Neurospora crassa OR74A: one gene and its partners. The protein of the gene in region 3 binds, or shares a complex with, the protein of the main gene of each other region. Links are inferred from orthologs where the notes say so. Each region holds a gene or a part of one and is shown on either strand. Other genes may lie near its edges. The genes, in order: NCU06768, NCU07852, NCU02804, NCU06469, NCU08552, NCU07549 and NCU05714.

What was found.
Region 1: NCU02804 (region 3) and NCU06768 share a complex: the UniProt entries of both Schizosaccharomyces pombe proteins name them as parts of the mitochondrial large ribosomal subunit. The link is inferred for Neurospora crassa OR74A from reciprocal best matches to the Schizosaccharomyces pombe genes mrpl25 and mrpl16.
Region 2: NCU02804 (region 3) and NCU07852 share a complex: the UniProt entries of both Schizosaccharomyces pombe proteins name them as parts of the mitochondrial large ribosomal subunit. The link is inferred for Neurospora crassa OR74A from reciprocal best matches to the Schizosaccharomyces pombe genes mrpl25 and mrpl23.
Region 4: NCU02804 (region 3) and NCU06469 share a complex: the UniProt entries of both Schizosaccharomyces pombe proteins name them as parts of the mitochondrial large ribosomal subunit. The link is inferred for Neurospora crassa OR74A from reciprocal best matches to the Schizosaccharomyces pombe genes mrpl25 and mrpl12.
Region 5: NCU02804 (region 3) and NCU08552 share a complex: the UniProt entries of both Schizosaccharomyces pombe proteins name them as parts of the mitochondrial large ribosomal subunit. The link is inferred for Neurospora crassa OR74A from reciprocal best matches to the Schizosaccharomyces pombe genes mrpl25 and mrpl38.
Region 6: NCU02804 (region 3) and NCU07549 share a complex: the UniProt entries of both Schizosaccharomyces pombe proteins name them as parts of the mitochondrial large ribosomal subunit. The link is inferred for Neurospora crassa OR74A from reciprocal best matches to the Schizosaccharomyces pombe genes mrpl25 and mrpl51.
Region 7: NCU02804 (region 3) and NCU05714 share a complex: the UniProt entries of both Schizosaccharomyces pombe proteins name them as parts of the mitochondrial large ribosomal subunit. The link is inferred for Neurospora crassa OR74A from reciprocal best matches to the Schizosaccharomyces pombe genes mrpl25 and mrpl10.

What each region holds. Positions count from the first base shown.
Region 1 is NC_026502.1:2,002,920-2,006,581, reverse strand, and holds NCU06768 (mitochondrial 54S ribosomal protein YmL47), read left to right. Parts: upstream 1-1,381; 5' UTR 1,382-1,617; coding exon 1,618-2,058; intron 2,059-2,142; coding exon 2,143-2,284; intron 2,285-2,353; coding exon 2,354-2,520; 3' UTR 2,521-2,655; downstream 2,656-3,662. Other genes in the region: NCU06767 (replication factor C subunit 1), read right to left, coding at 1-526, 590-631, 688-733, 796-901; NCU06769 (activator 1 38 kDa subunit), read left to right, coding at 3,069-3,155, 3,216-3,662. UniProt on the Schizosaccharomyces pombe protein: Component of the mitochondrial ribosome (mitoribosome), a dedicated translation machinery responsible for the synthesis of mitochondrial genome-encoded proteins, including at least some of the essential transmembrane subunits of the mitochondrial respiratory chain.
Region 2 is NC_026503.1:1,107,276-1,111,546, reverse strand, and holds NCU07852 (mitochondrial 54S ribosomal protein YmL23), read right to left. Parts: upstream 2,367-4,271; 5' UTR 2,039-2,366; coding exon 2,018-2,038; intron 1,874-2,017; coding exon 1,343-1,873; 3' UTR 728-1,342; downstream 1-727. Other genes in the region: NCU07853 (uricase), read left to right, coding at 1-314, 399-505; NCU07851 (superoxide dismutase 1 copper chaperone), read left to right, coding at 3,026-3,217, 3,379-4,164. UniProt on the Schizosaccharomyces pombe protein: Component of the mitochondrial ribosome (mitoribosome), a dedicated translation machinery responsible for the synthesis of mitochondrial genome-encoded proteins, including at least some of the essential transmembrane subunits of the mitochondrial respiratory chain.
Region 3 is NC_026501.1:9,064,029-9,067,739, reverse strand, and holds NCU02804 (mitochondrial 60S ribosomal protein L25), read left to right. Parts: upstream 1-1,757; 5' UTR 1,758-1,949; coding exon 1,950-2,344; intron 2,345-2,432; coding exon 2,433-2,493; intron 2,494-2,554; coding exon 2,555-2,590; 3' UTR 2,591-2,763; downstream 2,764-3,711. Other genes in the region: NCU02803 (pre-mRNA-splicing ATP-dependent RNA helicase prp-28), read right to left, coding at 1-1,444; NCU02805 (diphthamide biosynthesis protein 4), read left to right, coding at 3,182-3,711. UniProt on the Schizosaccharomyces pombe protein: Component of the mitochondrial ribosome (mitoribosome), a dedicated translation machinery responsible for the synthesis of mitochondrial genome-encoded proteins, including at least some of the essential transmembrane subunits of the mitochondrial respiratory chain.
Region 4 is NC_026503.1:1,524,101-1,528,350, forward strand, and holds NCU06469 (putative mitochondrial 54S ribosomal protein MNP1), read left to right. Parts: upstream 1-2,043; 5' UTR 2,044-2,261; coding exon 2,262-2,462; intron 2,463-2,729; coding exon 2,730-3,059; 3' UTR 3,060-3,593; downstream 3,594-4,250. Other genes in the region: NCU06468 (midasin), read right to left, coding at 1-1,458; NCU06470 (hypothetical protein), read right to left, coding at 3,803-4,250. UniProt on the Schizosaccharomyces pombe protein: Component of the mitochondrial ribosome (mitoribosome), a dedicated translation machinery responsible for the synthesis of mitochondrial genome-encoded proteins, including at least some of the essential transmembrane subunits of the mitochondrial respiratory chain.
Region 5 is NC_026503.1:4,951,056-4,955,237, reverse strand, and holds NCU08552 (mitochondrial 54S ribosomal protein YmL38/YmL34), read left to right. Parts: upstream 1-1,695; 5' UTR 1,696-1,992; coding exon 1,993-2,007; intron 2,008-2,091; coding exon 2,092-2,176; intron 2,177-2,489; coding exon 2,490-2,785; 3' UTR 2,786-3,304; downstream 3,305-4,182. Other genes in the region: NCU08553 (DNA directed RNA polymerase II 15 kDa subunit), read right to left, coding at 3,655-3,699, 3,765-3,854. UniProt on the Schizosaccharomyces pombe protein: Component of the mitochondrial ribosome (mitoribosome), a dedicated translation machinery responsible for the synthesis of mitochondrial genome-encoded proteins, including at least some of the essential transmembrane subunits of the mitochondrial respiratory chain.
Region 6 is NC_026503.1:4,405,642-4,409,611, reverse strand, and holds NCU07549 (mitochondrial 54S ribosomal protein MRPL51), read left to right. Parts: upstream 1-1,621; 5' UTR 1,622-1,802; coding exon 1,803-1,844; intron 1,845-1,928; coding exon 1,929-2,011; intron 2,012-2,313; coding exon 2,314-2,605; 3' UTR 2,606-3,057; downstream 3,058-3,970. Other genes in the region: NCU07548 (hypothetical protein), read right to left, coding at 1-168, 435-540, 627-754, 861-1,122; NCU07550 (triosephosphate isomerase), read right to left, coding at 3,142-3,170, 3,234-3,842, 3,938-3,970. UniProt on the Schizosaccharomyces pombe protein: Component of the mitochondrial ribosome (mitoribosome), a dedicated translation machinery responsible for the synthesis of mitochondrial genome-encoded proteins, including at least some of the essential transmembrane subunits of the mitochondrial respiratory chain.
Region 7 is NC_026503.1:603,857-608,297, reverse strand, and holds NCU05714 (mitochondrial 54S ribosomal protein YmL10/YmL18), read right to left. Parts: upstream 2,561-4,441; 5' UTR 2,436-2,560; coding exon 2,095-2,435; intron 1,970-2,094; coding exon 1,372-1,969; 3' UTR 733-1,371; downstream 1-732. UniProt on the Schizosaccharomyces pombe protein: Component of the mitochondrial ribosome (mitoribosome), a dedicated translation machinery responsible for the synthesis of mitochondrial genome-encoded proteins, including at least some of the essential transmembrane subunits of the mitochondrial respiratory chain.

The DNA of each region.
Region 1 (3,662 bases), on a different chromosome or scaffold from region 3:
CGAGGATTTCCGCTTCCCTGCCGTAGTAGTTGTAGATTTCTTGTTCGGCTTGCTGGGTCCAGGCTTGACGTCTTCGTCGTCAGACTCGGCTACGGCTGCTGTTTTGGCGCGAGATGCCATTCGCTTGGGCTTGGGGAGGAGCTCCTCGTCACTGTCCTCCTCGGCATAGTCGTCGTCCTTTTTCCTCTTGCTGCCACCCTTGAATTCCGCCGCAAATATGTCCTCTCCAGCATCGTGCTCATCATCCATGTAGGCATCGCCATCGTCATCCTTGTCGTAACTCTTGTAGGCCGTCGTGGGTTTCTTCGTAGTCGAGGTCTTCTTTGTAGTAGTCTTGGGAGGCTCTGGTGCTTTGGCAGCGGGGGTGGCTTTCTTCCGCGGGCTTGTTCGAAGCGCTACTTTTGGTTCTTCTGGCTCGGGTTTTGCGGGTGTCTTTTTCGGTGTTGACTGGGACGCAGCAGCAGTTTTTGTTTTTGAGGTTGCAAAGTACTTGGCAGCATCGGTTTCAACTCCTTTTACGGGTTCCCTAGATAGTCTGTCAGCAGGAATAGGATGACATGGAACTGAGAGGTGTTTCATAAACACTTACGCTACTTTCTTCTTTGGCGCAGCCTTGGTTGGCTTTTTGACTCTACACATGCTGGTTAGATGCTAGTTCTGAGAAGAGATGCTTTTCACTAAGCTTACTCAACAACCTCGTCATCTTCGCTGTCCTCAACAACCTTTCTTGGCCCTGCGACAAGATTGTTAATATAACGTGATAAGCTTGTGATGGCGATCATGGTTCAAGCTTACTACCCCGGGTCTTCTTCTCCTCTTCCTTCTTGGGTGCTGGTGTTGCCGGCTTAGCAGGCGGCGCGCCACCTTTTGGACCAAAAAACGAGCGAATGTCGGCAGGCATGATGGAGTATGTGAGAAGAAATCACTGGATACAAAATGATAAATTGAATGTGTCAAAAGGTTGGGAAGATGTAACAATCAGATGACACCAGCAAGCATCTTCTTATAGTGGCGGAGTTGGGAAGTAGGGACTTTTGTTCTTGGTGTCTGAGTTGTCCAGGCAGCTGTCCTTCTGCCTAACAAGTGTTGTTGAACAAAAGGCCTAGAAGGGTAAAGAGCTAACGGGTCGACTCTTGTCCCTTGTAAAGACGGAAGTAACAATTGAATGATGAGTGAGACGCGAAGGTGAAGTGGATGACGCGAGTCTGTGTCCGGGCTCTGCTCCCCTGTCGCGACTGGTGGGGCCTTGTCCTACAAGAATTCGCCAACTTGCTGCCTTGAGCTACGCCCACGCAGCTGTATTTCTTGTGAGGAGTCAATGAATGAGTCCCAGGTCCCGCTTGTCTGCTGTGTCCGGCAGATTCCATGTCGCGGCCGGCACCCGACACTTTTTGGTGGGTCACAATTTTTGGAAGTGCCGTCCGTGCCCCGTCCGCGCCCGCAGCACCTTCCATTGCAGGTAGTCGCTCTGCCCGGTCCCCGTCTCTGTGCGCGCGCTGCTTCGGGGAATCCGTATCAATCGTCGTCGGCGACCGGCATCCAATTGGACCCTCCCTCCGTCCTCCGTCCACCACTCGTCCCCTCCCCGGTCCGGTCCACACCCAAACCTTCAACACAATGAAGCACAACGCTTCCTCGGCGCTCCTCAGCGCCTTCCAGGGCCTTAGGATATCCTCGTCGGCGACTCCCTTCCGTGCCGCGTCGCTCGCAACCTCTGCCGTCCGTCGCCCCATTGCGCCGACCCCCGTTTCCGTCGCCTCCCATGTCCGCCTATTCTCTGCGACCGCCATCCAGGCTGGTTCGTGGCTCGAGCCCAACCTCAACAGAAAGAAGAAGATGATGAAGGGAAGGCCCAGAGTGCCGACGGGTGGTTCGACCAAAGGAACAACAGTGGTTTGGGGAGATTACGGCCTGCGCATGCGCGATCACCACCGCAGAATTAGCGCCCAACAGCTCAAGCTCGCCGAGGACACCATCAAGCAGAGGTTGCGTGGTCAGAAGTACCGCCTGTACAAGCGCGTTGCTTGTAACGTCGGTGTGTACGTCAGCGGTAACGAGGTGAGCAGCTGAACAACCCACAGCCCGGGAAGGCCGGATGCCGACTGTTAGCGGACATGAGGCTCACATGCATTTCCGGTGTAGATGCGTATGGGTAAGGGTAAGGGTTCGTTCGACCACTGGGCGACCAGAGTTGCCGTCAACCAGATTATCTTCGAGATCAGGGGGCAATTGCACGAACAGGTCATCCGTGATGCCTTCCGTTTGGCCGGACACAAGCTTCCAGGTAATAACAGCACATGCTGGCCCAAAATCTTTGCGAGGTTGAGAAGAGTAGAAAACTGACAAGTCATAGGTCTGTACGAGTTTGTGAAGAAGGGTGACCCACCAGTGGTTGGCATCACCAAGTTGGAGGATGGCCTCACGGTGGAGGACCTCAAGAACCCAAGGAAGAAGTTGTTGATGCCAGAGATTACCCAGAGTGCTGCGAGCACATCAAGCACTGCTGCTCCTCCTTCGTAGAGGTGGAGAACCCTGAGCCTATTCTAATTGTAACACTATGTAGAACAACAGAAGGGCCAATGTGCAAAAGAGTGTTGCCATGGCCATTTCATGATTATTATGACGACGTAACAAGCATCACCACTTTGATTTCAATGCTCTGAGAATGTGTCCGTAAGCTACTACCAGTTTACCTGGATGGGCCAGAGCACCACATCGAGTCAACAAGCAATGCTGGCTTCCTAGATATACCCTTTCAACCATGCCATGAAATGGGCCCTATACTAGATGTCGGTTCATGGAAGATCCAATATCCAGCATCGGACGTTGCAAAACTCAAAGAGATTCAAGATAGCTGCCTAGAATACTGATGGCGAAAGTGGGCAACTGTCTACCCCAGGGCCTGTATAAGCGGGTGATATGGTCCGTGCGGCCATCCCCCGTCATCTGTTAATTGATTTTCTGGACGGCGCGTCAACTCGACGCGTCTCCCATGCACCTCCAATCCAGCATTTCTTTCCCCTTCCGTTGTCAACCCATTTTCCTCTCCACAATATCACCACACCACGATGGCGCTTATTGTTGACAAGCACAGGCCGAGGTCTCTCGATGCCCTCACCTATCATACCGAATTGTCGGAGAGGTTACGGTCACTTGTAAGTAGACCCTCTTGTTCCCCTCGTGCAAAAGAAGCTCCCCGCTGATGACACTCCTAGGCGCAAAGCGGTGACTTTCCCCACCTCCTCGTCTACGGTCCTTCCGGCGCAGGAAAGAAGACGCGAATTGTTGCTACCCTCAAGGAGTTGTACGGCCCAGGTGTAGAGAAGATCAAGATCGACGCCCGTGTTTTCCAAACCAGCAGCAACCGCAAGCTCGAGTTCAACATTGTCGCATCAGTGTACCACCTCGAAATCACCCCGTCCGATGTCGGAAACTACGACCGAGTAGTGGTCCAGGACCTCCTCAAGGAGGTGGCGCAAACACAACAAGTAGATCTGTCGGCGAAGCAGAGGTTCAAGGTGGTGGTCATCAACGAGGCCGACCACCTCACCAGAGACGCCCAGGCCGCCCTCCGTCGGACCATGGAGAAATACTCGCCCAACCTGCGCCTCATCCTCCTCGCCAATTCGACAGCCAACATTATCGCACCCATCCGATCGCGA
Region 2 (4,271 bases), on a different chromosome or scaffold from region 3:
ATCCGCCTTTCACGGCTTCGTCCGTGACGAGTTCACCACTCTCAAGGAGACGTGGGACCGCATTCTCTCCACCGACGTGGATGCCGGATGGACTTGGAAGAAGTGTGCCAACCTGGCGGCCGTTCAGGACGGTGTTGAACGCTTCGACGCTGCGTGGGAGGCTGCCCGCAACATCACGCTCAAGACATTTGCGGAAGACGAGTCGGCGTCGGTACAGAACACTATGTACAAGATGTGCGAGCAGATCTTGGATGCGGTACCCGAGACGGAGAAGACCAACTATTCGCTACCCAACAAGCACTACTTTGAAGTTGGTGAGTACCCCTTTCGCAAATCCACCAAAAAAAAAAAAAATAGGTCCAGATAAATTTACACTAACACCCAAAAAAAAAAAACAGATCTCAGTTGGCACAAGGGCCTCCAGAACACCGGCAAGGACGCCGAGGTGTACGCTCCCCAGTCTGGTCCCAACGGTCTCATCAAATGCGAGGTCTCTCGCTCGTAAGACTGTTGAACTTTGTTTTTAAAACGTCACACATGTTTCTTTGGCTTTCTTTTATGATATCACCATTTTTTTTTCTTCTTTTTTTTTGCATTCCCCCTCACGTTCCGAGGGGTTGGTTGGCGGGCAGGCGTACGTTTTGAAGGTGGAAAGATGATGATACCTTGATGCAACGGATCATCATGAGACGGAGGCTATGGACATCTTGACTGGCGCTAATTTTCAGGGGTAATCAAATAAACTTCCTATTATGAACAAGCAAGCATCCGAAAAGCACTGCTAGCTGCACTCTCGAATTACCAAGTGAAAAAATATGCCGTGAAATCGGTGAGGCTGACTTTTTGCCTTCGCGGGCCTTCAGCGTGTTGGACATGAGGATCTGCTCATCGCTTATCAGATCAAACAATCAATGAGTCTAAACAGCTCTCATGAGTCGTAATCATGGTATCTTGTTGAGTGATATATTTGTACAATGAGAGGCCCCCTTTTTCTAACCCAAGTTCGTACACTGTCCGTTGCGCGCTGGGCTCATGAACCGGCTTCCCATGTAATATACAGACTGACACTGGCGGCATTGCCCGTGAATCACACGGCCAAGTGGGCTGTAACAGACACAAGAACACACGAGAGAGATTTCTCGCCCCAACGAGGTGGTTGTCCACACAATCTTCCTCACAGTTGACAGAGTTCTCAGTCTTCGTCGGCTAGATGGTTCGTAACGGCTCGATGTAGATTCGTCCCTACATCTCTTTCTCTCCCGTTTCTCTGACACTCTTCCATGAGTAGATAGCCAGCTCCAGCGCCTTCAACCAGACCTTCACACCTCAAAGCCATGGTCGCTCATAACCTCTCCATGTCCGCCTCCCGGATAGCCTTGACAGCCTCCTCCCAACCTGGAGCGCCCACCACCTTACCGCCAAATCGCACCAAGTTCTCCTTGTACGGGTGCGCATCACCCTCAAACGCCTTGAGCCTCGCCAGTCTCTTGTCGCGCAGCCTGTTCTTGGGAAGCATGCCGCTGACGGCCTTGCGCAGCACCTCGGCGCCGCCGTGCTTCTCCATCAGCGCATCCATGGTGATGGCCTGTAGCGAACCGGGCCGGGTGTTGTGGCGGTAGTACGTCTTGCGCCACTTCTTGTGGCCCGTCGTGTACAAACCCGCGCAGTTGGTCACCACGACGTAGTCGCCGCAGTCGGTGGAGGGATCCCAGATCGGCTTGTGCTTGCCCATCAGGATGGTGGCAATGCGCGAGGCGAGGCGACCGAGAGAAGGGGGAGTGATGGCCTCGGAAGGAGCCTTGATGGTCGAGAGGGTGGGGTGAGGGGTGACGGCGGAGATGTGGTGCCAGACACGGGAGTAGGCTAGTCGGGTCTACACGTTCGTCGCAAGACGGCGGTGGTTAGTGACGGGTGGTGGAGGTGGTGGTGGTGGTGGCGGGAGGGCGAGCAAGTGCCAAAATTGTAAGAAACACGACGAAATTATGGGACAGTTGTGTCCGAACAGGAAGAAACTTACAGCTCCGACTGTTTGCGACATGTTGACGGTGTTGCGCGGTGGTGATGTAGGTCGTATACTATGGTGTTCAAGAGAGGATTAAGGTGGAGAAGGCAGGTATGAAAACCAGTGGGAACGAGTCCCTCATCGACTGGTGGTAAGTGAACCTCTATGTGTTATCGTCCGGGTCAATTGAATGACACGGGATCGGGCGGGCTCCGGAGTGTTCGAGACGGCGGGTTCGGCAGGCGCGAGAAAGTCCGGGGCTTGTCGCGGCGAACGGGTATCAAATGTGGTCCGGTATCACGGGAAGCAGAATGGAGCTCCTGCAGAAGGGCAGCAGCAGAGCCTGCCAAGCCCAAAAGCTGCAATCACTTTTCTTGCCGGAAAATTTCCACGTACGATTGGGGCACGACGGCCCGCTGGCGGTTGGCGGGGTGGCTACGGTGGTCCGCAAGTCTTAGTGTGTAATTGAGGAAAGCACTAACAAACACCAACTCGGCGCACTTAGAGCTCTCTTTTACTGATGTCCCATGTACCAAAGCCTGCACTTCCTTTCCCGGTACATATCACACGCTTTCGGGGAGCAGGATTGCCCTGGCTTGGGCCGATCGAGGAGCCGGACACAGCGGAGCCCCAGTTGGTCGCCCGCAAAAAGTGGTCCCAGAAAGGTGCCGTCGCTTTGAAATCAACATTTTGGCAGGCCGACATCTACCTTCCTGCCGTCTTACAGTGAAGATGGGAAAACGACATTTCGCACTCCAGTGAGGTGACTTCATGCACTCTCTTGTCGAGAAACAATGAGGAATCTCAGCACAAGAGTCGCATTTACCCCGTCTCTTAAGCATCCGTAGACTGGAGCCAAAACGTTATTAATTGTACCTAGTCGTCCCCTCCTTCGCCGAACGTGGGGCTCTCCTCCATCGCCTTCTATACAAATCCATCGTCTCACGTTGGTGTTGCTTCTCACACCACCACTTCTATACTGTCCTCAGTATTGTCTTTGCTACCTCTTAGTGCCTGAAACCGATGCCACCGTACACGGCCAGACAAATCCTAAGTATTTCTAGTCTAGCTTTAGCAGGTTTTGGAGGCGCATACCTTTGGCAACAACGCCAACAACATAGGAACTATTTTCAGTCACAGTCATCCCCGGCTGCTCCCAAATCATCAATCCCGAAGATAGCCGGCAACATGGCTTCCATCACAACCCCCTTCAAGGTTTGTTTATACCCTTTTACAGCCTCATTTTCATATATGCCTACATATGAGCTTCGGTCCAAGCCCTTCCTTTTCTTTAGATAAAGGGTCCAAGCCTGTCTCACATATCTGACTCACCTTGACATACTTCCAGAGGCACATCATACTAACTCATTTCACAGACTCTCTTCGCCGTGCCCATGCACTGCGAAAGCTGCGTGAACGACGTCTCCGGTGCACTCTACAAGCTCCCCGGAATCAACAAAGTGGAGGCCAACCTGAAGGACCAGCTGCTCACGATAGAAGGCACGGCCGCGCCTTCCGCCATCGTCAACGCCATCCAGTCCACGGGCCGTGACGCCATCCTGCGCGGTTCCGGCGACTCTCAAGGCGCGGCCGTCAGCATCCTCGAGACTTACCACAAGCCCACCCTAGACAAGATCACGCCCGCCCCGGGAGCCTCGGACCGCATGGTCCGCGGCCTGGCGCGCATGGTGCAGGTGAACAACTCGACCACGCTCGTCGACCTCACGCTGCGCGGCATCGCGCCGGGTACTTACCGCGCTACGATCCGCGAGTTCGGCGATCTTGCGCGGGGTGTCGAGTCGGCCGGCCCGGTGTGGTCCGGCACTGCTACGCTGACGGCCGACACCAAGGCGCAGATCTCTGGAGACCCTAACGCCCCGCGCGGCGTATTGGGAACGGTGGAGATCAACAAGGACGGACGCGGGAGCGTGTTCCTCAGCCACCCGTTCCAGATCTGGGAGGTGATTGGGCACGCGTTCGCTGTTGCGCCGGTGTCGGTGGATGAGAGCGCGGGAAGTACGTTGGAGAACGACGAGAATACGGTGGTGGGCGTGATTGCGAGGAGCGCGGGCGTGTGGGATAACGATAAGACGGTGTGCTCGTGCACGGGGAAGACGCTGTGGGAGGAGAGGAAGGATGAGGTTGAGAAGGGGATGCTGTGATTACCATGCGAGATGTGTATGGTGTGATGAGGTCACTTTGCTAGATGTACAATATGGGCAATGGATGGGTGGTTGCTAAGAGGCGGACCTGTGTAGATATTGGGAAT
Region 3 (3,711 bases):
CGTCTGTATCTGGCTTTTCGTTGGTTACCGGCATGGCATCCAAGATCTTGGTAAGCGGCTCCTCGAAACCTTGGTCAATCATACGATCGGCTTCATCCATGATTGTGTAGCAGCACTGAGAGAAGACGAGCAAACGTCTTTCAAGGCAGTCCACGAGACGACCAGGTGTGGCGACAATAATCTCGGCACCGTTCCGTAGAGCAAACGCCTGCTCTTCGAGCGAGTGACCACCCACAATACTGACGACTGTAAATCCGAGAGGTGTAGCAAACTTCTTGGCCTCGCTCTCAATCTGTTGCACCAGTTCTCTTGTTGGCGCCAGAATCAGGGCATATGGACCGTCGTTCTTGTTGTACTCGGTCAGGGGTGGTAGTTCGGAGATGTAAACCAGCAGAGGCAGCAAGAAAGCTGCAGTTTTACCGGAACCCGTCACGGCCACACCGATCAAGTCGCGTGCTTGAAGGGCAATGGGAATGGCAGCTCTCTGAATCGGCGTCGGCTCGTCGTAACCCACGTTCTTGACAATGTCGAGCAGACGCCTAGGCAGCGTGGACTCTTCCCAACTGCGCATAGGGTTGGGAATGGCACCGCCCTTGGTGGCAATGCCAAAGTTTTCCTTGAAGATACGCCAATCGCGCTCCTTCATGTCCTCCAGCTTCTTCTCGGACCAGTGCTTGCCCAGGTTCTTGCGCTGTTCCATCTCCTTGATCCGTCTGTGTTGTTCCAGGTATTGCCTGGCGCGCTCCTCGCCCGTCTCGGGATCGCCACGACGGATGGCTTCGGCCTTCCGCATCACCATCTCTTCCGTCATCTCGTAACCACCAAGTCGGACCAGAGGCTCTTGACGCTCTGCGTAGATGGGGTCGAAGGGTCGGCTAGTGTCGTCATCGGCATCCCAGTCAAAGTTGAACTTGTTCGCTGCCGTCCTCCTCCTCTTCTTCTTGGCCGAGAATGTGGACTGATTTACTACTGGACCCATGTAGCGGGCGCGCAGCTCTGCCTCGTCGTTCCTCTCCATCTTGGCTCGCTTCTCTTCGTCATCGTTGGGTGCGCCGCGTTTTGCGCCCCGTTGGTTTCTGTCTCGGTTATCTCTGTTGTCGCGATTGTCTCTGTAGTCCCGACCGTTGCTCATGCCGTTGGGTCCCCGGTCATCGTCGTACCGCATCGCCTTGGGTCCGGTTGGGATGTTTCGTTGAGGGTTGTGGTTGTGATGACTCTGGATACCGTCCATGCGGTTGCCGTTATGATTTGTTCCATTTGGTTGAGGCTTGGCTTCTTCCTTGCGCTTGCGTTCCTCTTCTTCCTTTGCCTTTTTCTCGGCTTCTAGCCTCTCTCGTTCCTTTTTGGGGATGAATCTTGGTTTCGCGGCGGCGGCTTCTTCCTCCTTCTTCTTGCGCAGCAGTGCTGCCAGGTCTGGGGGTTCCCGTCTTGATGTCGTGCTCATCGTGGTAGTGTATGGAGTTGGTGATGAATCGAAGGAAGAGACTGGTCGGAGGCGACAGTGTTGACAATAAACGTGTTGATTTCCAAGCAGTGCTGGGTTCCGGAATGGGGTTGTTGTTATGGCGAACTTGGGTGGTTCTGGGGTGCAGCAGCGGTGCAGCACAGTTCTCGACCCGCCCAAAAGTTATGTCACGGTTCAAGGTCGGTGATCCCTGTCGTGCCTGTTCAAGGGTCTCCACATGCCCCGCCTTACGCGGGGGGTTAAAGAGGTCGGGTTAGGGCTCAAAGTGTAACTTCCGGCTGTCGCTATGTACCGTTTCGCGACCTGGAACTTTTTCGCAGTTGGGGTCCCGTCGGCGGCCGATTGATCGCAAAGTTCCCCGTTCCGGTTCGTTCGAGCAATCCGGACCCTGTCACCTACGACAAAAACAAACAAACAAACAACCCCCCCCCCCACCTCGACCGACACAGTACCGCCAGCAGGCCGGTCGATCGACATCTTCACCATGGCGGCCACGGTGAAGCAGCACGTCCAGCTGGCGCTTTCGCTCCCACCGCGGTTGCGCACCTTCTTGGCCCGGTACCCGCCGGCCTCGATCCTGCCCGCCGGCGCCGACCCCGAGACGCACAAGACGCCCTACCAGGAGGAGAGCCCGAACCCGTTCATGCCCACCAAGCACCCAATCACCGGAAAGTGGCACAACCCCAAGTACTCGCTCAGGCGACAGGCCGAGCTCGTCAAGCTGGCCCAGGAACACGGCGTCGAGGAGCTGCTGCCCTTCACCCGCAAGCTCAACGAGGAGAAGCTACGGAAGAGAGTCGAGCTCGGTCTCCGTGTCAAGGGTACCGGTGTTGGAGAGAAGGTCAAGGGTCACAAGCACGAAAGGACACTGGTTGCCAAGTACGTTGTCGATCCTCGGCTGCTGCTGCTGCTGCTGCTGCTGGTTGGGAGGAAGTGGTGGTTTGCTGACGGTGGATTTCGCACACAGGATGGAGAAGAGGAGAGAGGCCATGCTGGCTATGCCCGACCTTATCCGGGAATGGAAAAAGGTAAGGATTGCGCCCAAACTCTTGCGGTTTGCACTCTTGTTAACCATGGGCTTCGCTACAGGTCGGCAAGAGGAACTGGACCAAGTTCCCCAAATAAGCGATCGGTTGTTGTCGCTTGTCGGGAAGATTACAACGAGAGTCACTGCCATGTCCATAGACTGTATCATCACCAACAATGTACAACAAATTTCAAGCCATTTGGAAGGGGATTGCCATCAATGTGGTTCTGTTTCCCGGTTGTTGACTGAACGTCCTCTGGCGTCTTATAAGACGGAGTTCCCCACTGTGGTTGGAGGCCGAGACGAGGTAATGTGTCTAACGGTGCAGTAAAATTTCCCCCCCGAATTTGTTTCTCTGAACAACTCACTTCACGATACCAGGCACACAACTAAGACTCAAACCACCACGTGAGAACCGACACATCACACATCCTCTTTTTTTTGCCTATTCACATTTCCTACTGTATACAGCAACATAACAAGGGCAGCGAGCGCAAAGAGACACGTGATTGCGGGATACAAACTTTTCTCTCGAAAGCTGCTCGACGCAAACCACCAACCTTTCACCACTTACACGTCGATACATTTCAACACCAAACCGGTCTCACAACCATACCATTTTATACCCGGGGCCGCACTACCAAACACCACATTGAACACCAAACCGCAAAACCACCAACACATCCAAGATGTCCCAACCAACCTTCTACGAAATCCTCTCCCTCTCACCCACCACCTCCGACCTCACCCCCGCCTCGATCAAACAAGCCTACCGCCGCGCCCTCCTCACCCACCACCCCGACAAGTCTTCCTCTAACTTCTCCTCCTCTACCTCCAACAGCCACTCCAACAGCCACCCCAAAGGACATCACCCCCCAAAAACACGCTACACAATCGACCAAATCTCCCTCGCATACACCACCCTCTCCTCCCCCACTCTACGGACCCAATACGACGCCGCCCTTCGCTCTTCTTCATCTTCTTCTTCTTCTTGCTTCACTACTACTAGGAAAGAAGAAGACGACGACTTCCAAACAGGCATCGACACCATCGACCTAGACGACATGGTTTTCGTACCACACGAGACCTCGTCCTCCGCTGGTATTAGTCGTAATGAAAAAGACACATGGTACCGCCCCTGCCGGTGCGGCAACGAGCGGGGCTTCGCCCTAACGGAAGAAGACCTGGAAGAGAATGCCGACTTGGGGGAGGTGTTGGT
Region 4 (4,250 bases), on a different chromosome or scaffold from region 3:
GTATTTGTGAAGCAAGGGATATCTGCTGTTGATGACATCCTTCAAGTCCTGTTGGGGAAGGGCCTTGACGTGCGTAAGCTGCCAAAGACGCAGACCAATCAAGCTGGGTAGGTTCTCCTTGTCGTTCATGCCGAGCAGCGTCCGGACAGTAGCAAATATGCGGAAGCCTTCGGTGGCCTGTATGGTCTCGCCGCGTCCAGGAATTAGCAGCTCTCCTCGCTCAATGAGAGGCAGCAATGTGCTCATGACTTCTGTTGGCGCGCGATCGAGATCCTCAATCAAGACCCATCTTCCCTCCTTGACGGCAGTGGTCAACACACCTGGGCGCCACGAGAAGGAACCGGGTTTCGAGTCGGTGGTGTATAGCCCAAGCAGCATCTTGGCGTCGGTTTGCTCGTTCAGGTGTAGTGTCACTAGTTGCTTCTGCTTGCCTAACTCGCGCGCAATCTCGTGGACTAGGGAGGTCTTGCCGGAACCGGACAGGCCGTGGAGGAGGATAGGCCCGGGTCGTTGCAGGCACCCGGTGAGGTTCTCGAGGTTCTCAACAGTCGTCGGGGTAAGTGCGAGGGTGGTGGGAGCAGTCACAGGGCCGAGGGGACGCGGGAGGACTGTCTTTCCATATTTGACAACTAGAGGAGTGAGGTTCTGTTCTGGGATGTTTGTGATATTCAATTCGACAACCGCATCGTCAACCGCACTAGTTTGTTGGGATTTACTGCGAGAGCTCTGAATGTCTTCACGTCTAGAATCCTCGTGTAGGCTGAGGAACGCATAGTCGGCTTCGCGCCCGTCGAGCTCTGCGACAAGGCTGGTATCTTTGGGTATGTGCTTTTCGAGGAGGGCTTCGATCTTGACATCGGCGGCATTATGAAGCTGGCAGAAGATTCGGACGGCAAGATATCGGACGATGGGGTTCTCGTGTGCGAACAGGGTCTGTATTTGGGATGGCTTTGACAGGCCGGCGTAGGTGCGCTTGTCAAAGTTGTTGAGCCTCCAGAGGGCTAGGAGGACAATTGGGAGGTCATCTGGGCGGATCGAAGCTAGGTCAAGGGAATCGAGAGGTTTAAGTTTTGAAGAAGCATCATTGTCGTTGCTTTTGTCGTTGTGGTTACCACCATTAACACCACCAAAAGATCCTCCTCGAAGATGCGACACGAGGAAGACGGACAGCGACGGGGCGAAGGGCAAGATCCTTGCGAAAGCGGCAAGGACTCGCGTATCGAGTTTTGGAGAAGACAGAATCCATCTGGCGCAAATATCGGCAAAAACAGACTCGAAATGGGTAAAGATGCGGTCGGTGGCTGTCGAGACAAGAGCGGCGCTGGCGATCGCATCGAGGAATTTGGTCGATTGGTGATCCTGGATTATGAGCAGCAACTCTGGCGGCAAGAGGTCCAAGGTGGTCGCATCGCTAAGGAGCGACGCCCTCTGCTGGCTCACATCGATCACGGCCATCATGGCCAGGGAAAAGCGACGGGACGGGTTGGCGTGGATGTCGTCGTCGTCGTCGTCGTCGTCGTTGTGAAAAACGGTGATGTTTTTCTTAGTCTCTTTTTTTTTTTTATCTCTAACTTTTTTGCCCATTGAACTTCGCTTTCTCCCGTTTGGAACTTTTTCCCACATGAAATTCCTTATCGCGCTGAACGATAGTGCGGGGTACATGCTACTTAGCGCTAGGCGCATGTGCTGGGGTGTACTGCATAGTACTCTACATAGTGTAGTGTAAGTCGGCTGCGGCAGGCAAGGGAGCCATCTTCTTCAAAAGTGGAACCTAGTTCCGGGTGGGACGAACAGCCCAGCGGCAGCAGGGGCGCGCTTGGGATGACAGGGGCCCATCCTTTAGCGCGTCTTCAGTGGACTTCAAGGTACAGAGGTACCTAATCCCCAGACTCGCGCGGGGCAGGCAGCTTGGGTTTTCCCCTCCAGCTGCAGCTCCGGGTCAGCCAGCCGTCATAGATCCAACTTGCACGCCCAAACCACCAAGCTGCCAACTGCCAGTAGTGGGTCCCAGATTTCGCAGCACCCGGGAGCGCGCGACAACGTCCCCAAAAAAATATCTCCGTTTAGTTGTTGTACGGTTCGGTTGTACGATCCTCGAAGTCGACGTCGACGGCAAGCCTCCCTCACCAAAAAAAGAGAACCCCAATCCGACCGCCCCCGCGCGCCCTCTCTCTTTCCTTCCTCCGGTCCGAGTCCGACTCCCCTCTCTCCATCCATCCATCCACACAACCCACCACCACCAACACACACACATACCAACAATGTCTCTCTCGGTTCGCTTCGCCGCGCAATGCGCCGCCCGCCAGCTCCGCGCATCCACCCGGGCCTCGAGCTCCCTCCTCGTCCAGAAGCGCTTCGAGTCCACCGCCGCCCCTGCCGCCAACCCCAAGATCGCCGCCATTGTTGACCAGATCAGCACCCTGACTCTCCTCGAGACCTCGGAGCTTGTGTCCAGCCTCAAGGTACGCCCGATTTAAATAAAGCACGAGAAGAAGAACAACCGGGGCCGGGAACCGGGACACACAAAACCCGAATCGGAGCATGTTTCAAGGTTTCCGGATGTTTTTGCGCCCCGGACCCGACCCGACCCGACCCGGCCCGGCCCCGGACAGACAGACAGACAGACAGACCTATCTTATACTACCTAGACTCTCAAGTCGCACACATGTACATGGGCACCAACACTAACACTCACTCTCTCTCTCTCTCTCTTCTTTTACACAAAACAGTCCCGCCTCAACATCCCCGATCTCCCCGTCGGTGGTTTCGCCGCTGCCGCCCCCGCCGCTGCCCCCGCCGCCGCTCCCGCTGAGGAGGAGGAGGCCGCCCCTGCCGCTGCCGAGAAGACGCTGTTCACGCTCAAGCTCGAGAAGTTCGACGCCGCCGCCAAGCCCAAGGTCATCAAGGAGGTCAAGAACCTGCTCGGCCTCTCCCTAGTAGAGTCCAAGAAGTTCGTCGAGAGCGCGCCCAAGGTCATGAAGGAGTCGGTACCAAAGGAGGATGCCGAGAAGATTGTCGCCGCCATGAAGGAGCTCGGCGCCACCGTCACCATGGACTAAACTGCTGCTTCTGCCTAGTAAAAGGGTTGGTTGCTATGGTTATGGTCTCTGTGTGGTGGTGTGGTGGGTGGAGGCGCCGTGTGTGTGTGTGTGTATGTGTGTTGTTGTTTTGTAGGATGGTCACGTCCCTCCCCCGCAGAAAAAGAACCAAACGAGGAGATCTTTTCCTGACACAGATGCCGGAAAGATATTTTCTTTTTTTTTTCCTATAATGATGATCATGACGGGACAGAGTTGGAAGAAATGCCAGGGCCTTGGGAAACACATAAAGGGGGATTCTCGGTCTCATCTACATTATATCCTCATGGGGAAAGGGGGGGAGTGGCGGACACAGATTCCTCACAACAACATATACCACTTGTACGTGTACAAAAAGCAATGAAACATGTAACATTATATCATACTACGAGAACTGGGATGGATAGAAGAACGGGTTGTCAGCGAAAACATGAGAGTCTGTCGACGATATTACCGTGAGCAGATGCCGCTTCTGAGTTAATAGTATCTCCCCACTTTCGCTTATGGATACCGAAGATAACTAAACAGCCAAAAACATAAACGCCATCCCATGCATACCCCATGTATCGGTAACTTCCTTGTTTCTTATTCTCAACCTCCTTCTCCTTGCCTCCTTCAATTTTCTTCTTTCTATCGCACTCCTACCAGCGCGCCTCTTGTATCCACCACCCGTGTCATTCCTACTGGTCTTGAATTCCCAGGTTCTCTTCTCCTCCGTCGGTTTCCTAACCCGAAGTCATCTCCACATCTTTATCTTGCTTCTCCTGTTGCTCCTTTTCCAGCTGCTGCAGCTGCTTCCTCCTCGCCATCTCGGCAATCTCCCCACTAATCGACATTGGCTTTTCCTTCATGTTATTCCCATTCATACCATCATCCCTCTCACCCCCGTTACTGGTAGAGGTAGTATGCCCACACCCCGCACCACCACTCCCTCCAATCCCTCCAATCCCCGCCTGCAAACTCCTCTCCCACTCCTCCTGCTCTTCCCATATCGCCCTCATGTCGTCATCCCCCAACTCTGACGTCTCCTCCAGCAATCTATCCAGCTCGTCTCCGCTCGGCACCGCCCAGATGTTCTCCCTCAGCCTCTTATGCCGCTCACGATCCTCCTCGATACGTTGCTCAACTTGTTTCTTGTCGAGACGAGGGGCGGCAGTGTTGACGCCTCCGCCG
Region 5 (4,182 bases), on a different chromosome or scaffold from region 3:
GACAAGGACAGTGTTTGTGTCCGCGGATGAATCAAAGCGTGTTGAAAGTTCTCGGTTTGTTGGTTTGTTAAAATAATGATGTGGTGTTGGTTGAGTGAGGAGGGGAAAAGGCAATTCCCGGTCGACGTCTGCAAACAGAAAGAGCGGATGCGATATGCGCCAAAGGAAGTGGTCAGATCAATACTGTAAGTGTCGAATCGGCGAAGGAGCGAACAAAGGCACACTCTTGTTTCCGTCAGCAATTGAGAGCTGAAGCTGACCGCAAAGTGAATGAATAGTGCACTCTCTCGGCCTCAGGTCTCACGATGTGTGTCTGCAACGAAGCCAAGTGCAGCCAATGCGACTCGACAGTGGCTGACAATGACAGGCGCAGTCAAGTGATGGTGGTGGTGGTAGTGGTGACAGCCAAGGTCACAAAGTATTGAAATTCAAGCTGAAGCTGCAGCTTTGATCGAAAGGGACAGACTTGTTGTTGTTGTGGGTGGTGGTTGACGGGAGGACAAGGACGTGGTCGCGAATGAGGTTGCAAAGAAGGGCGGGCGGGCGGCCGAACCCTTGAGAAAGCTGAAGAGCTGAGTGGGAATGACTGGGGATGGAGGTCAAGCTTGGGTGAGGGTCCTTTTGCGGTCCGAGTCTTGTTGGTGGTTGGTCGGACTCGGGGGGAAATGGAGTTGGAGTGGTCCGGCGAGGCGGGTTGCCGTCATATGTATTCTTGTACTTGTTGTCTGTCTATGAATTCCTGAACTCAAGTGTGAAAGTGCGAGGAAACTGCAAGGTGGTGCGGGCTTCTTGCTTTTGGCTGCAGGGATATGAGGCAATAGCCTTGTTTGAGGGCCTTGCTATTTTACCTGGAGCTGTAACAGGAAGAACAGCAACAAACCGTTTGGTGGCAGTGAAGCTGAGGTGAGAATAAGCTGAAGCTCAAGGTAAAACTGCTCAAATCGATTGGAGAACAGGGAAAAAGGGGACGAGCAGAAACAAAACAAAAGGGGGCCCGGCATTGCAAATCTTCGCCTCTTTACTCCTCTTTTCACGATCCCACCTGTTGCCGTGGTAGCGGTGGTCTAGCCAAATTCCGAAAGACACAATTGGAGAATCAGCCGACGGGGGAGCGGGGACTTGGGGGAGAGTGGGAGACACCATCCTGGCTGGAGCTTGGTTGCGCCGAGGTTGTCATTGGTGGTTTGGGTCAGGGCTGATGGAATGTTTCTAACCAGATGGGGATGTTGCTAGCAATGGACGACTTGAGTCTCAACGATCATCTGGGGTACGCTTTCAGAGATGGGTACTGTATGTATATCGCTGTCTAACTTGCCTCTGGAGTCGTCGGGTAGAGATACTATGACAAGCTGTTTGCAAGCTGACTTGAGATGGTACATGCCCGGGCTAGCTGTCTGATTGTGTCCAGAATGGCCGCACTCATTATCTTCCTTGACAAATACAGACGATTCAACAGTTCATTGTCCAATAATGACTTCTCATAAAATGTGCTCATTGTTAAACTCTTCTTAACATCAACTACGGTCATTGAGTCCTCACATGTTCTGTTGCTGATGCCTCAGACTCTCACACTTTCAGAGCTTCAACTACAGCTACTTCCCGAAAGCGTTAGTGTAGTCAAAAAAGCAGCTATGTAAAGAGCATGCATGAGACACCCCTCCCGACTGGCTCCACACTCTTCGTCCAAGTTTTGGCGCGTCCCCTTCTTCTCTCTTTTCTCGCGTTACTTAGGAGCCTGCTTACCTAATGCAGGGTACGTACCTCTAACCTGGCATCCCCGTCCCGCAAACAATTTTCGATGGGGTCCCCGCGTCCGGCGGGCACGACGGACAGCAGCCGGCCGGCCGGTCATCAATCAATCAATCAATCGATCGATACGCGGCGTCAACCGTGGAATCCCCATTCAGTTGCCGGGTTTCGGTCCTCTCGACAGCCAACTAACTTCAGCCACTACTCGCTCGGTAACAGGGACAGAGTAACCGGTTGCCCAAGATGATTCAACTAAAGGTTTGTTTTTTTTTCTTCTTCCCTTGCTGTCGAACGAAAGCAAAAAGAGTTTGGTTGCTAACGAACCATGCGAACTGCAAACAGACGATGCTCAACTGCATCGACAACTCGGGTGCTGCCCTGGTGGAATGCGCCATGGTTGTCGGCCAAAAGAGGCATGCTTCGATTGGTATGCTTTCGAATTCCCTTTCGATTTCCGTTATACACCCACGAACCCATCGTCGACTCGAGCATATCATATCTACACGAACTACCCGATCCCTCTTTCGTACCCCAACACCAACACCGTCGTCGCCGTTCATACCCGTCCCATCCCGTCCGATTCTTCTCGTCCGACCAAGGAACATCTGGTCTTATACACATATCATACTTGCCTCTTGCCCCTCTTGTTCCTCCCTCCCCCTTCTTTCCCCCCTCTTGTCCCCCTCCCCCTTCTTTCCCCCCTTCTTTCCCCTCCTCATACCTCAACTAACAGAAGAAAGGCGACCGCATAGTAGTAGTCGTCCAAAAACAGCGCGGCGCCGACTCGGCCGGCATGGCCGCCTCTTCGGCCGCCACCAAGGTGAAGCGCGGCGACATCCGCCACGCCGTGGTAGTGCGCACCAAGCAAAAAGTCCAGCGCCGCGACGGTTCGGTCGTCCGGTTCGACGACAACGCCTGTGTCTTGATCAACAAGGCCGGCGACCCGATCGGATCGCGCATCAATGGTGTGGTGGGCCAGGAACTGCGAAAGAAAAAGTGGAGCAAGATATTGAGTATGGCGCCTATGCAGGCTTAGCTAGGCTTGATTGATCGATCAGGGAGGATATATGTACGATGGATGTAGCGGGAGAATCAAGATGGAATGAAATATGAATACCCGTAAAGAAAAAGAGTTGAGTTTGTTGGGGTGGGATGTGGCGTGACGCTCCTTGAAGTGAAGAGGAGTATGCTCGGTGGGATGTGTCATTGCGGTGACTTGGTGACTCTCGTGGGGGGTTTGGGTGTCGGCTCAGCTTGGGTTGGCTGTGTTGAGGTAATGACTGACGATGAGCGCTACGGAACATCACTTTGTTGATATCTGACGGAACTGTGGTTTGTGTGTCTACGGATTTCCAGGATGGACTTGGGATGGCCTGGCGTATACGGGTTTGAGACTGCGACGTTGTTCTCAAGGTACGACGGCTTCACACACCGGACATCACACCAAAATATGGTCTCATCGAACGGCCTTTCTTCAAGCGCCATTTTGGGTAACGATCAGCCAGCAGCAGCCGTCACATCAGTCGATTAGGTTTACCAGTCACTTCAGTTCGGGACATCAAGCGTGCCGTCCTAATCTGTGTATACTACTGTACATTACATGTCATGTCAAGCAAAACAACATCACCATTGCATATCACACGAAACAGTTTATAACGTTATCCACGAGATTCATGGAAAGACCATTTCTAAACCAGTGTCCTGCCAAAGCATGAAAAAGAAAACCAAACGCCCTAAACCGCGGTCCTTTTGAGTTAACCGTGTACAAACGCCACTGTAATGCAACTCATCATGACCCCCTGATCTTTATTAATCAACCTGTGATTTTTTCCGACCGCCCGCCTGTCCGCCTATAACAAGGATCGATCTGGCCCTATTCCTTCCGAGTGAAGAGTGAATCCCCCACTACTGGTAAATATTACCACAATCGCAGCAGACGTAGAAAAGTTTCTGAAAGTAACGTTGTTAACCCATGACTCTGGTGAGCCCCTCCCAGGCAGGTGAGTGAGTCTTACCATTCCGGTTTCCGAAGTACGCTGCTGTGACTGGAAGAAGACAGCTTCCGGGTGGTGGCAGGCAGGGCATTCCTTGATGGCTCTTGGGAGCTAGATAGCAAACGAAAGAAGAAAAAGAAGAGATTAGTCTCGATGCAAGCCAGAGCAAATGACAAGAACAAGCCAAATCCAGGTCATCGCCTCGCGGACCAGACCCCGCCACCAGACGGACGGAGACTTTTGGGTATGCGCTGTGCTATGCTATGCCGTGCTGTGTGCCAGTCGTGTCGTGTGTCGGGTGCTGTAATCCCGAAGGTGGGCGAACAACCGCGCCGCCATGATTATAGATGTATTATAATCCTGATGTAATGGGTATGCCGTAACCGTAATCGCTGTGACCGTAAAATCAAAAAGTCGTAACCTCGTGAGAGCGGGAGAT
Region 6 (3,970 bases), on a different chromosome or scaffold from region 3:
ATCCACCGGGACCCATGGGCCTAGCGGGCATTGCCTTGGTGTAACCACGACCACCAAGGCCGCCACCGAGACGACGAGGTTTCCATCCCTTAACCGTGCGGCCTCTCTCTACATCGACCTTGATGCGGCGATCCTTAATACGGGCGCCATCACAGCCATCTAGAGCAGCTGGATTGCGCATGCGCCACAGGCGCAGGTGTCAGTAAGGCCTTACCATGAAGAAACAATACTACCTTTAAGGTATACGACGTGGAAGATGAATGGATAGAGGGAAGACGAAAAAGTTTCCGCAGGACAGGCAAGCTTGAGGGCCATTCGAGTCCTGGTTGTGGGCTTACAGAAAAGCACCGACAGCGGGCGTTTCCTTGTCTGTGTGTGCTGGTTGAATGTCAAGAAGAGGGGGGGGGGGGGGGTCAAGGGGGGCTGGTCATTACCTCTCATGTCCTTTTCGCGTTCGAAAACGACAAAAGCATAGCCACGATGGGGCTTTTTCTTCTTGTTTGGGTTCTCATCGGCGTGGGTATCTCTGATGATACGGATCTGTTTTTTGGTGTCAGTTCTTGTCAATTAACACACACATAGCTGTGAAATCATGATATAGGAGGAGGGGGGGTTTGCAAACTCACACGCTCGATAGGACCGTAGCGGCTAAACTCGCGCTCGAGATCCTGTTCATCAGCACGGTAGTCAAGACGCGCTACTATCAACGTCTTGAAAGCATCTCCTCTGATGTTGGGATCGTCATTAGGGTTGTCTACAGATAAACGCCATCGGTTAGCAAGCCGCACGACAGCAAGATCATGATCAAGTAAAGGAGTAGCGAGCACAACTGCGCGTAACGTTGGGGGTTTGCCGCGTACAATTCTTGGGACCCTCGGTCAACAGCTTCTCCAAAGCTTCCTTCTTCTCGCGCTTCTTGCGGTCGCGCGCCTCCAGCCAGCTCTCGGTGGGATGGTACTCGTATTCTTGCTCGTAGGCCTGCATGGCAGGAAGGAAGTCGGCAACGGGGGTGATGAAGGCCGACTTGCGCTCTTCGGGAGCAACATCGCAGGGCGGCACCCAGCGCAGAGGTGGCCGGGGCGCAAAGAGTGCGAGGAGGTTAGGCGGGAGCCGGTCTGTCATTGTCGCTTCACGTTGTCGCTGTTGTAGCTGGTCAAGTGGTGTTTTTTTGTTGATCTTATCTGTCGTCGAATTATGAAATCGATATGTCGGAAACCAGGAAATGTAGGTCGTCTGGCGTTTGATCCACTGTTCGGAAAGCCGGGCGAGAACAGTTCAATAAGGCTGAACGCTGTTACTGTTTGCCAATTCTTGTGATGGCGATAATGTGGTGTTGTCGGTTTGCGAGAAAGGTCAAACCCGCATTTTCGCGACTTTGCTTGGACAGCTGAAGACGAGAGACAGAGGGTGGGAGGCGGGAGCAGCAAAGGGCCCTGTCTGGTGTTGTGTCGTCCACTGCCTGGCAGCCTCGCAGCGACTGGAGCTCTTGCTGGGCAGCTTTCTCGCGCGCTCGACCACCGAACGACTGAGTGCGAAAGAGGGACCGTGCACCCTTAGGTCGTCTTCGTTATCACTACGCACACACCCAAGGAGGAGTGCAATCGCGTGAAATTGATTCTGCCAACCGCTTTTGCAGTTGGGCGGGTCCCCCACCCCCAGTGCCGTGCCGGCGCGCGACGGGGCGGGAGTCTGGCAGAAGTTCAAGTCGCACCCGCCCTCCGGATCATGAACCCTGGTGGACTCGGACTTGTTGCAAGGCGAGGACGGCGGCGAAGAAGAAGAAGAAGAAGAGCATCACAACAATGACGGTAAAAGCATTGACGCAGATCTCCTCTGCCGGCCGTGTAAGTTAGACCGCAGCCTGAGCAACTAAAAACTTTAATTTTCAGAAAAAAAAGAATGCTAATCGTTGATTGTTTTGTATCTAGAATGGCGTCGGCGCATTCGTCTTGCAGTGCAAGAAGTTGGACATCCACTACAGTGACTGGGCCGGCAGCTCCCGGGGCATGAAGTACGTTTAGGATTCTTCGAATATGGACATCGCAACCTCATTCCCGATCGAACATCTTTCACATATACCAATACCTCTACACGTCCAACCAAACCGACATCCTCCCAAGATCTCGAGACCATCCCGCCGTCCCCGACCATCCATCCATCCATCCATCCACCACTACATACCCTTTTTCTCGTCCCTCCTCGTCCCTCCTCGTCCCTCCTCGTCCCTCCTCGTCCCTCCTTATCCCTCCAGTCTCCCTTCGCGACCTCAGCAGACAGACTCTTTCACTAACACTTACTTCTTCCTCCATCTAGCGGCTTCATCAAATCCCTCCTCCCCAAATTCGCCGCCGCCAACCCGCAAATCGAGTTCGTCGTCTCTCCCCGGCCCGCCAAGCACCCGATCCTCATGGGCCACTACATCAACGGGCGCACCAAGGCCATTTGCGTGCGCAACATGGAGCCGCTCGAGATCCTCAAGAAGGCCGAGCTCCTCCGCGACGCGAGCGGCGAGAAGCCCCAGAAGTTCAAGAAGCCCGTCACCAGCACGAACCCCAGTGTCAGAGGTGTCTGGTCGCCTTACCATGGGCAGGGTATGGCTGTATAAAGCGGAAAAAGGGGGAGGAGCAGGTGCTGGTGCTGGTGCTGGAATGGACTGGATCGGTGCTGGGCTGGATTTGGTGCTCGGCCGGTGTTGGCTCGGTTCAGTACCAGGTGGATTGTATATACCATGTTGAATGTATGAATATGAATTGAGGACATGAAAAGGGTTTCTGGATGTATCAAGGGTTTCGGTTTGGCTATATGGTTGTGATCAAGTCCTTCCAGAGCTATCGAGTTCCCATGATGAGTTGCCCCAGTTCCAAAGAATCTGACATTATCTTCTGGTGCTTGGTGGTTGACTGTTGATATTGGAACTTGGGATGAACATCTAAGAGCGAATGGAGGAGCCGCGGAGTTGCGGTATCTGGTGTCACAGAAGTCATGAACGGGCTACATGAAGCGAAACTACGTTCTTCAATCCCAAATCGAACAAAATCAGGACATTTAACTATTTTATATTTTCGCCGTGTCCTCAACACCATTTCCCAGCCTATATGATTGCGGCTGTAGCAAAGCTATAACTTTTTATGGGCAAGTAATTTACAGGTTGGCGTTGATGATGTCCACGACTGCATCATATCATGTTAGCCATCTTTCTTCCTCTCGTTGCAACAATGGCAGGTAGTACTTACACTCGGGCTTCAAGCTGGCACCGCCAACAAGGAAACCGTCAATGTCCTGCTCCTTGGCAAGGTCCTTGCAGTTCTTGGCGTTGACAGAGCCACCGTAGAGGATGCGGGTCTCCTCAGCAACCTTGTCGCTGACGTTCTGCTTGAGCCAGCTGCGGATGGCGGCGTGCACCTCCTGGGCCTGCTCCTTGGTGGCGACGAGGCCGGTGCCAATGGCCCAGATGGGCTCGTACGCGATAACGACGTTCTTCCAGTCGTTGATCTCCTTGGCGAGAGCGGCGAGCTGGTTCTCGACGAACTTGATGGTCTCGCCGGCCTGGCGCGTGTCCTTGGACTCGCCGCAGCACCAGATGACCGAGATGCCGTTGTCGAGGGCGTACTTGGTCTTGGAGGCAATGAACTCGTCCGACTCGCCGAGCTCGTTGCGGCGCTCAGAGTGGCCGAGAATGACCCACTTGACGCCGAGATCCAGGAGCTGCGTGGCGCTGATCTCGCCGGTGAAGGCGCCGTTGGGCTTGTTGAAGACGTTCTGAGCGGCAACCTCAACGTTGGGCTTCTGGAGGTTCTGCTTGACGAAGTCAAGGTAGAGAGCGGGAGGGGCGATCACGACCTCTGTTTATGTTCTGATCAGCATTTGAGCAGTGTACTGCTAATTCCACCCTGTCTTTTTTTTTTTTTTTTTTTTTGTCCTGGCGTTGCAGACATACCGGCGTTAGGGTCCAATTGGGCGTTGTTAAGGT
Region 7 (4,441 bases), on a different chromosome or scaffold from region 3:
GCAACAGTCGACGCAGAGAATCTCACTAGCAGCGTCGCAATGCGACTCGTAATCTGGATGCAACGGAGGGCTGTTGGAGGGCTGTTGGATGTAGGTACCGCCACTGGTAGTGTAGACGTAGGTATATAAGCTCCGTCAGGATTGGCACTGCAAGGAACAACCCCAATGGGCCAGGGCTGAAGATGGAAGAACCAAAGAGTGAACAAGTTAATGATGAGATTATGGCAACCTCAGCCAGAAGAAGAAGAAGAAGAAAAAGAAGAAAATGAAACACAGAAATGAAGAAAAAAGTTGAAGCAGGTCGTGATGTTGACAACGACAAAGTTTGGTCTCTCCCGCTCGAGGAAAGAAAAGTCAAGATGCATCAATGATGACGCCGCGGCGGGCAGAGTGGGTGGAGGGCACGCGCCGACTCCAAAGCTGACACAATCCCGTTCGGGAGGGCTGCATACAGTGGCTTCAGTGGACGGTTCCCGCTGTGGAAGCTGGGCATGGTGATTAGGGGCATTAGACTGGTCCGTGCATACTCCACTTTCTTTAAGCCGAAGGTATCGAAAGTCACCCGTGTAATTACCGTAATTACAAGACATATGGTCGGCATATGGTTGACATATGTCAATATTAACGATTCACATTCACATGCGGGGGCCTCTCACCGGCCCCCTGCACCCCCGGAGCTAACCCTAACCCTAACTAACCCTAACTAACCCTAACTAACCCTAACACTAATTGGTAATTTGCAGAGAAGTCGGGTATTGACGGCTGTTTTCGGACGTAATTACAAGCTGGTATGGAGAAGGTACCAAAAGCGACCTGGCACGTGATCAGACCCATATTTTCTAATGCCCCCATTCACCGTCCCCGTGGAAGCTGCCCTGGAAGGAATGGCCGGGGACCGCCCAGGACCGGGACTTGACCGGGGTCAGCTTGCGGGATTGACATGTCACTGGCCAATGGCTGTTCTTCCGACTGCCAGGTACGGGACAGCAAGTCTTCGAGATCCGTCGTTTGGACCATGTCAACACGCAGCCAAGTGATATTTACTTTATAAAGCCCATCTTCGAACTACGATGGATCGCAAAAGCAGGAACACGTCAATCAAGGGAGTTTCATGATTCACCTGCGTTGTCAGCAAGTGGAGTGCTGGCCGCATGTGGGAATCCACTCCCGTAGGTGAGACCTGTATGATGTACAAGGACCCAAATAGAACTGATCCGAGGAGCAAGACGCTGGACTGACAATACGCGGATGATAATAATACAACACAAAGCACAGAGCCATGAACGGGCCCAGTACCTATCATACAACAACGAGGAAGAGCGCAACAACGAGTCTCGGAAAAACCGCCATCCCAGGCAATGTTCGTGTTCATTAGAAGAGCTTCTCCGACGCCACATCCCCGGTCTTGCTGGCCTTGACCTTGTCGGCCCTGACCACCTTGACCTTCTCGCCGCCCGTCGGTACCTTGAAGTACAAACTGGGCGACTCGCCAGGCGCAAGCTGGTGGCTGAGGTAGCCCCTATGCGCCGGGTCTCTGTAGTACTCAATATCCCAACGGCTGGTCGGGTCCGGCAGGCGGTAGTACTTCTTCTTGAGCGATCGCGCCTGCGCCAGGATCTCCTCCACGTGCTCCTTGCCCACCGGCAGCGGCTTGTCGGTATGAAGAGACTTGCCCTCTACCAGACGCTTGAGCGATTCCTTGGTGTAGAATCGGGTGACGATCTTGCCGCCGGCAGCCTCGATGGCCTCAATGGCGGAGGCGGACGCGCGCGATACGGTGATGGTGACGGGGATCTTGAAGCTCTCCTTGCCGCGGCCGAGAAGCTTGATGCCGTCCTTGATGCTGCTGCCAATGATGCCGGACTTGATGATCTCCTTGGGGGTAATGGGCTTCGTGGGGTCGATACGGCCGGCTTCGATCCATTCCTGAAGCTTTTCGAGGTTAAGCTCGGACATGTCGGCAGCGAACCTATGAAAGACACAAATGGTTAGTCTCCATCATGTATCTGGTAGGTATAGGTTATCGGATAGCATGCTGGAGAGTTCTTGGCCATGGCGCATAGCAAGCGAGGTAGGGAAGTCGGGACGGCATACTGGTTAACGAAACCCTTGCGGCCGTGAGAGACGATCAAGGGCGTCTGACCACCCTGGAACCATGGCTTAACATGACCGTGGGCCTTCTGACCCTTGGTACCGCGACCGGCAGTCTTGCCATAGCCGGACGAAGGACCGCGACCCTTGCGAATGCGCTTGTGGTAGGCGCCCCGGTTGTCGGACAGGCTGGCGAGGATGGATGCGCTCCTGGTCTGGACGGAGAGGGCAGCAAAGAGCGAAATGAGGGACGACGTCGGCGACGAGGCTGGGACCGAAGGGCGGGCTGTGAGGGAGGCCTGGCAGCATCGCGCCGCCTGGGCGAGCGGTAACCTGGGAGGCATGACGGAGGCGGAGGACACGGGAGTGGGTTGGGTCTGGGTCGGGCAGTCTTCCGGATTCCGTTCCTCACGGCAACGGCACTTCCCCGAAAACAAAAGTTCAGGACCCGCGCCCAGCCAAATTCCGACACCTGCGTCGCGGGGGTGGACCGTGCGCCCTCGTTGGTCTCGGTCAATTGCGAATGGGCGGCTGAGTCAGCAGCTGGTCCACATCCGACGTCCTTCGCCAAGGGACCGTGATGCTCCAAAATATCCATGTTCGATATCACTTACACGGGATATGCAAGAACATGTCAAAGGTTCAGTGCGGTGAAAGTCCCTAAGAGTGATTGTACCGCGGCTTAACAGGCTGAAGAACATCTGGTGCGAGTTTAGGGAATTTTTCCACCCAGTCGGAATGATCATAAATTGAGTGTCCCGAGGCCATTGGAGGTGCGTTGAGAAAATATTGTGCAAGTACAACTGTGGGATGCTTAAAGTATTGCCTTTGAGAGCAACGCAAAACAGGCAGCCAAGAGCAGCTCATACTAGAAACCTATTATAGATGGGTCTCAACTGCGACCTACGCTAGAATTACACAGAAGTCCTGAAGTAGGGCGTGTCGAAGGGGGTTCTGTGTCAGCCATGAGCCAATCGAGCTGGTGGGGTTCGGGAGTGTTGAGAATGGCATGAGTGACATACACGCTGGAATTGCCTGAATGTTACTTTGATTTACTGAAGGTGTTTGTATGGCTGATAGAAAGAATGTAATTGTTAAGCCTTCTTTGCTGTCGGATAACGTTTACTGCAGAACAGAGCAAGGGACAGCGTGCAGTCATTTCGCGGGATAAACATAACCGATCGTGATGGAACTTTCCAAGTCAAGCAGAGAAGCGCCGCTCCGAAATGGCTTTTCACTCAAGTCTGTCTGAATTTCAAGCATGGAATGTCAGTCCCAAGCCCAAACCACGCGCCAGGTACCTGCCACCGCTCCTGCCACCGGCAATCGGTCGGCACGCCCTTCACCGACGGGAACATCGGATGACAAGATCCCTTCCCGCCCAGGCCGCAAACCTCTAGTACCCTCTGCTGTAGCCTACAGGTATTATATAAGGTCGGGTTCCCTAACTGATCTCTCTGGCATAACGGAACTCTGTGATCTTTTGGCACAGTGGTTCCCGTTGATGAAAATGTGTGGCTTTTTCGTAGGTCTGCAGTTGGGGTATTGTCGTTCGTTCTACAAACTTACCTGGGCGACCGAGCTTTTTGCTCTTCATGTCAATTGGACAGCCTCTCAGGGCCTCAAAAATGTGGTCTCTCAATATTTGCTTTCTGTCTTGGGGCTGATAAATGGGTTTCTTTGCGAGCGGGAAAGATCCCATGGATGTGGTCATGTTTGCGGCAGCGACCTGATCGTTTTCGTGTACAAGTCAAGCCCTCACCACCCATGGATAGCACCTTCCTTTTAGGAAAGCAACTGGGTCAGTTTCAATACGACTTGAATGCCAGACTACTTTCTCTTTCATTTGACGTTCAATATGTTTACGGTTCTTTCTTCGGTCTTGATTCATGTTTTCAAACGTCGTTGTCTCTATGGATTATCAGGATGTCCACATCGATGTCTCTCCTGGCTGCCTTCTCAATGCCAACCGTTTGCGCAACTCGCGTTCTTCCTTCGGCGAATGAGGTGCGACGTACTTTCCTTGACATCTCCAAAGTGTCCACAGCAACTGTCCGAATTTCACGGGATCATAACATCAACTTCTAGGTCGCCATCAATTGTTCTTGTCGTCTTTGAACCTGTGACCTGACTTTCTCTCTCGCTGTGGCACATTGTATCTCCTTCTAGTCTTGCTTGACCTGAACATGAAGCGGCTCAGCTGTGGCAATGTTCCCAACTTCGTGTGAGTTGGGATTTGTATTGTCACCTGGAGTTACCATGTCGCATGTTCTTGGTCCCAGCTCCTTGTTCGATCATTTACGAAAAAGAGGCATGTCCTTTCCTTTATCCCAGCGTGTCGTCCCCTTCC